2 linked regions of the Callithrix jacchus genome follow. Each later gene encodes a partner of the first gene's protein in a complex. Links are inferred from orthologs where the notes say so. Each region holds a gene or a part of one and is shown in the gene's direction. Other genes may lie near its edges. The genes, in order: NUP58 and NUP62.

Region 1 (3,823 bases):
ATCAAGTCTGGCACTTGCTAAGTGCTCAATAAATGTTAGCTATTATGTTAGCTATGAAGTCTGCATTAGGGCCAGCTGGGCAAGTTAAAATAACATTCCTGATGTGATGGAGTCAAGCTGGCTTTTCTACAGCACATCCTATAAAGTCCCTGGCAGATAACACTGGTTTGAGGAGGTAATTGGTCAAGTCTAGGGTAGCTTTTGTTTTTCTTGAATTTAGTAAATTTCTCTTTTGCTTCTGTGGTAGAATAAGATTTCATTTTGATATGTTTCTTTGGCAGTATTTTCAACTTCCATTATTTTTTCATAATATATTCAAGTTATGAAGTTATTTTCAACTTCCATTATTACTTCATAATATCTTCAAGTTATGTTGTCAAGAAATTATACATGTATACAATTATTATTGTTTTTTTTTTGAGACAGTCTCACTCTTGTTACCTAGCCTGCCTGGAGTGCAGTGGTGCTCACTGCAACCTCTGCCTCCTGGGTTCAAGTGATTCTCCTACCTTAGCCTCCCGAATAGCTGGGATTATAGGCACGCCACCACACCCAGCTAATTTTTTTGGGGTGTGTAAGTTTAGTAGAGACAGGAGTTTTACCATGTTGGCCAGGCTGGTCTGGAACTCCCGACCTCAGGTGACCCCCCACCTCAGCCACCATGCCCTGCCTGTTGTCAAGAAATTTTAGATTTTAATTCATGGTGTAAAAATACAAATGTTTACTTTTCATCTTTTGTATATTTCCAAAATAGCAATTTTAAAAAAATGAGATCACTGATTTGTTTGGGAATAAGGAAAGCTTAATAACCATTTTCCTAATTATATGTCTTCAAAATTTGCCAATAGTGTTTTAATATCCCCCAGATAGCCATTTATTCTATTCCACATTGTACACAGAACAGTTTCAAAATAACAATGCAATCAGACTACCACCAGCTAAGCTAAATGTTTTTGGCATATATGCCTCTTTTATGGTTGTCCTACCTATGTTGTCTGGATATAGCCATTACATACTGTATTCTTTTGCTTGTAGTGCTCACTTAGGTTTTTGTATGTGTGATATCTCACTTAGTTTTGAATGTAGCAATATGTTCTTAAAAATACCTTATAATTTCAGAGTAAATGTTTAAAGATCTGTGGGTTTTTTTGTTTTTTGGTTTTTTTTTTTAAGACAGGACCTCTCTTTGTCTCCCAGGCTGGAATGCTGTGGCGCAATCTCAGCTCACTACAACCTCCACCTTGTGGGCTAAAGTGATCCTTACATCTCAGCTTCCTGAGTAGCTGAGATTACAGGCATGTAGCAGCACGCCTGGCTAATTTTTGTTTTTCGGGGTATTTTCTAGTTTTTTTCCATAGAGACAGTTTCATCATGTTGCCCAGGCTGGTCTCAAGCTCCTGGGCTCAAGCAGTCTGCCCACCTCAGCCTCCCAAAGTGCTGGGATTACAGGCATGAACCACTCAGCTTGGCCAAGATCTGTTTTAATTGTTGGTGAGATCTTGCAGCCCTGCTCTACCTTCTGCCTCGACTTCGAATTCTCTGGTGCACACAAACATATTTTAAAGATCAGTGGTAAACTAAGTACTTCCTCTCCTTTTACCTACTCAGTATGGATGGCCCATCTCAAGTTCTATCCCTTAATAAGCTCCTCTGTCTCCATTCTTATCTCAGTGATTAGCTCTGCCTCAAACTTCTGCAGTATCTCTTTGCTATCATTTGGTACTTGATTATAATCTGCCTAATAGTAATTATAAACTTACTGAAGGTGTACATTTCTACTGCTTGAATATTTCCTTCTCCCTTGTCCCCCAGTGTTTGCAAAAACCTGAGTGGCTTTTCGGGCTGATTATGAAATTGAAGACCCCCAGACCCAAGTAACTTGGAGAACTCTTATGGCTTGGAGTACAGTTATTTGTGTTGTTTATCCCCCAGTAAATGGCGTGTTCCTTAAGTAAGGGTTTAGTCATCTTTCTGCTCCCTCGCTATTCCTGGCATAACGCCTTGTACATAATATGTTTAGTTGAATTTATAAGTATCCCTAACGATAACAGTCATAACAACATTTACTGAAGTTAATTCACCCTGTGCAGTTCCTTAACCCTTTTATTAATTAATTTAATATTAATATTTAAAAAATTCTGCTAAGCGGGTACTATTAATTTCCATTTTGCAAATGAGGAAATAGAGGTTCAGAAAGGTTAAGGAATGGCATCCAAATACCAGAACATGGGGGAATTGGTACTGGAACCCAGCCACACTACTGGGTTCCTCTTACATTTCCTCTTTCATTGAAACGTTCCAGGGTTTTTGAGACTTTGAAAATGATATTGGGTTCTCTCATGATTATTCTTTATGGAAGGACAGTCAGGGAAGTAATAACTGTAAATATGTAGGATAAAGAGGATTCCCCATTATGCTATGCTCCCTTAACTCTTCTACATAATTCTTGAAGTGTCAACTTGTCAAAATTTTTTACTTATTTTCACAATTTGTCTTCCCACCTTTAGATAGCAAATCTGAACTTTTGAGTCTTAATGAGAGCAGTTGAAAAGTTGTGAACTTTGTTCACATTCACTTGTTTTTATCAGCTGTTCTTTTCTTAAGCTTTTTAACACTCTCTGAAGATTTTCTGCTACTGAACACATAATCCCGAGACAGTATGATTTTGCTTTGTGTTTAACTTTTGCCAGGAAATGTCCCCACTAGTTTTTCTGTTTTGCTTTTTTTGGTGGTAAGATACCTAACTATATGCTCTCCCCAACCTCATATTGCTCCATGAATGTGGTAATGTAGCAACAGAGAGGTAGTGAAGACAACTTAGAATACCTATGGCCATTTAAAAATATGCTAGGTTTCAAAAATTGGTGAAAGAATAATTGTGATCTCTACTTATGATTACCTTGAGTTCTGAAATCCTTATTGCTATAGACTGCTTTTCTTGAAATCTGGTACTATATTTTTTAAGACTTTTACATGTGGGTTCATTTTTAAGGAAGAACAGAAACTACCCGTTCTTCCTTAAACTTGGTGGGTTGAAGGTAAATTTATTGTTGTTTTTGGGTCCTATGACAATGTATTAGATATGTTACATGAATGAAATTATCTTGAAGAGGTAATTTTTATTTTTCATAAGTAAATATTGGCTCTAGTAGACTTCCTTTTGTGCCTGTGGTTTTTGTTTTGTTTCTGTTTTTTCAAATAAGCAACCCTTCTGTGGGGCTCAATTTTGGAACTCTTGGAAGTACTGCAACTCCAACAACTACATCTGCTCCTTCAAGTGGTTTTGGAACCGGGCTCTTTGGATCTAAACCTGCTACTGGGTTCACTCTAGGAGGAACAAACACAGGTGAGGAGGATCTGATCACACTGGTAGAGAGTAGGCTTGGGATATTCTTTCCTAAATTCTGTCCTATATCTCCCTTTACAAGGATCATCACTGGTAGTATATCTTAAAAAACGGTAAACGCTAAGATGAAAAGAAATATAAGGAATTGGAATCAAGAGCCAGTGATAGGCGCAATCATAGACTGTCATCTGTTCCTTTTCTGTTTTTCTCACTGAATTGTGGCAGACCCCTCTCTCTCTCTTTCTCTCTCTCTCTCTTTTTTGAGGTGGAGTCTTACTTTGTTGCCCAGGTTGGAGTACAGTGGCTCGATCTCAGTTCACTGTGAGCTCTGCCTGGAAGATCTCTTTCCTTAAATATAATGAATTAAAGTAATATAAATTTTTAGATTATATAATGCAGTGTTTTTCCTTAGTGGAGATTGTTGTTTAAGCCAGCTTTATCAATTTGGAACATTAACATACATGAGAGAGTCAGCAT
Region 2 (2,990 bases), on another chromosome or scaffold:
GCAGCCACCACAGCAGGCGCCACTCAGCCAGCTGCGCCCACACCAATGGCCACCACCACCAGTGCTGGGCCCACCCTCTTTGCCTCAATAGCAACCGCTCCAACCTCGTCCGCCACCACCGGCCTCTCCCTCTGTACCCCTGCAACCACAGCAGGAGCCCCTGCCACTGGGACACTGGGCTTCAGCTTAAAAGCACCCGGAGCAACTTCCGGCACCTCCACAACAACATCCACTGCTGCCATCACCACCACCAGTAGCACCAGCAGCAGCAGCAGCACCGGCAGCACCAGCTTTGCCTTGAATTTAAAACCACTGGCGCCAGCCGGGATCCCCAGCAATACGGCAGCCGCCGTGACTGCTCCACCTGGCCCTGGTGCAGCCGCAGGGGTGGCCGCCACCTCCGCCATGACCTACGCACAGCTAGAGAGCCTGATCAACAAATGGAGCCTGGAGCTGGAGGACCAAGAGCGGCACTTCCTCCAGCAGGCCACCCAGGTCAACGCCTGGGACCGCACACTGATCGAGAACGGGGAGAAGATCACCACCCTGCACCGAGAAGTGGAGAAGGTGAAGCTGGACCAGAAGAGGCTGGACCAGGAGCTCGACTTCATCCTGTCCCAGCAGAAGGAGCTGGAAGACCTGCTGAGCCCACTGGAGGAGCTGGTCAAGGAGCAGAGCGGGACCATCTACCTGCAGCACGCGGATGAGGAGCGCGAGAAGACCTACAAGCTGGCCGAGAACATCGATGCGCAGCTGAAGCGCATGGCCCAGGACCTCAAGGACATCATCGAGCACCTGAACACGTCCGGGGCCCCCGCCGACACCAGCGACCCGCTGCAGCAGATCTGCAAGATCCTCAACGCACACATGGACTCGCTGCAGTGGATCGACCAGAACTCCGCCCTGCTGCAGAGGAAGGTGGAGGAGGTGACCAAGGTGTGCGAGGGCCGGCGCAAGGAGCAGGAGCGCAGCTTCCGCATCACCTTTGACTGAGCCACCGCGGGTCCCCAGGGAGTCCCACGGGGGGGTGTGCCCTGTGGTCTGGTGTGGGGTTACAGCAGCATACTTGTTTCTTGCTTTCCTTCGCGTGACTGTGCCCTGGAGACAGCTGCTCTGTGCTTTGACTTTCCCCATTTAGGGAGTGTTCTGAGCCCTCTGCCCGGGCAGCAGCCTCATGGGTGTGGCTTCTGTGGCTTTCATTTCAGTGGCTTTGGCCCCTTTTTACCCACAGCAAACACCCATCTCATCCTGCCTCAGTCAGATGCTGGAGAAGGGCTGACAGTCTTGGTCCCAGCCAGGGTCGGGTGGGCAACTGCTCCATCCAAAGCATAGTCACAGGTGCCGTGAAAAACACCAAGCGTAAGAGAACCTCCGAGGCTGGGCGCGGTGGCTCATGCCTGTAATTCCAGCACCTCGGGAGGCTGAGGCAGGCGGATCACATGAGGTCAGAAGTTTGAGGTCCAGCCTGGCCAACATGGTAAAACCTGTCTCTACTAAAAATACAAAAACTAGCCGCGAGTGGTGGCGTGCGTCTGTGATCCCAGCTACTGGAGAGGATGAGGCAGGAGAATCGCTTGAACCCAGGAGGTGTCATTTGAGCCGAGATTGCGCCACTGCACTCCAGCCTGGGTGACAGTGAGACTCCATCTCAAAAAAAAAGAACCTCCCGGGAAACAGTAGCCTAGTTTTGGAGTATAAGATGGGGGTTCCTGAAAGCCGACCACCAAGTCAAAGCACAGTGTGAATAGAACAGACAGTGGGATAGAGAATTTCACAGAAGACAGGTCAGCTGAGGGGCCTGCACACAGGGTGTTGAGGAACCACACACGGGAGCCGAGAGGCCTGCCTTGTGCCTGGCCCAGGCTTACCCCACCTCTGGCCTCACCTCCTCCGGGAAGCCATCCCAGCTACCCAAAGCTCAGTCCGTTGGCCTTGCAGGTCCCCATAGCACCCTGAGCCTGCACCTTGGTGGCACTTTCTACGCTGTCCCTTGCTAGCTGTTTGCGCCTCTGTCTCACTGTTAGATTCTGAGCTCCCACGGGCAGAGACCCACTTGTTCCTGTGCGTCCCCAGCCCAGTCCCTGTCACATTTGTTAAATGAAAGAACAATGAATCCCAACATAACGCCAGTCCACAGAACTGGCCACAGCTGCAGTGATGGCCACAGACTTGGTTGTGAACTTCCTGGCACCAGAGTTCCCCTAGTCAGTTACAGTAAAATCCACCGTGTGTGGAAGGCAGAAGCCAGCGGCTGTATCCTAAGTGTCTTCTGTATTTCTCTTTACGCTTTGCTGCATTCTCTGACCGTATGTTGCTTTTCTAAATAAATGTGTTGTGAAGCCAAAAAAGCTGTTCTTCATATGGATGGATTTTAGGAGGAGAAGGTTGAGTAGAAAGAGCGGATCCCAGGAGGCTCTCCAGGGTGGCATTCATGTGAAAGCCTCCTGCAAGCTAACCAAGCAGTGCTGGCTTAGACACAGGAGCATACGATGAAGCCGTGTTTGACGAGGAGGAACAGACAAATTCAAACTGTGGTTTGCTCTCAGAAGGGCCAGAGCCAGTGGTAGAAGAGGACATGAGAGTGAACCTGCCGTGGCCTCAGGTCCTTAAGGGGCCCCAGGTGTTCGTGACAGTTATGTCATAGAATATACACAAACACAGCTGGGCGAGGTGGCTCACACCTGTAATCCCAGCACTTTGGGAGGCCAAGATGGGCAGATCACTTGAGGTCAGGGGTTCAAGAGCAGCGTGGGCAACATGGCGAAACCATCTCTGCAAATACGACAAGAAAGTTGGTTGGGCGTGGTGGTATGTGCCTGTTGTCCCAGTGACCTGGGAGGCTGAGGTGGGAGGATCACTTAAGCCCAGGAGTTTGAGGCTGCAGTGAGCCATGATCATGCCATTGCCCTCCAGCCTGGGCGATGGAGCAAGACCCTGTCTCAAAAAATATACACATGTGAAGCCATCTGGCACCATCCCTAAGGCGCTAT

Evidence for each region.
Region 2: NUP58 (region 1) and NUP62 share a complex: the UniProt entries of both Homo sapiens proteins name them as parts of the p62 complex. The link is inferred for Callithrix jacchus from reciprocal best matches to the Homo sapiens genes NUP58 and NUP62.

The regions. Positions count from the first base shown.
Region 1 is NC_133506.1:144,542,843-144,546,665, forward strand, and holds part of NUP58 (nucleoporin p58/p45), read left to right. Parts: intron 1-3,203; coding exon 3,204-3,346; intron 3,347-3,823. UniProt on the Homo sapiens protein: Component of the nuclear pore complex, a complex required for the trafficking across the nuclear membrane.
Region 2 is NC_133523.1:43,683,147-43,686,136, reverse strand, and holds the end of NUP62 (nuclear pore glycoprotein p62), read left to right. Parts: coding exon 1-993; 3' UTR 994-2,348; downstream 2,349-2,990. UniProt on the Homo sapiens protein: Essential component of the nuclear pore complex. The N-terminal is probably involved in nucleocytoplasmic transport.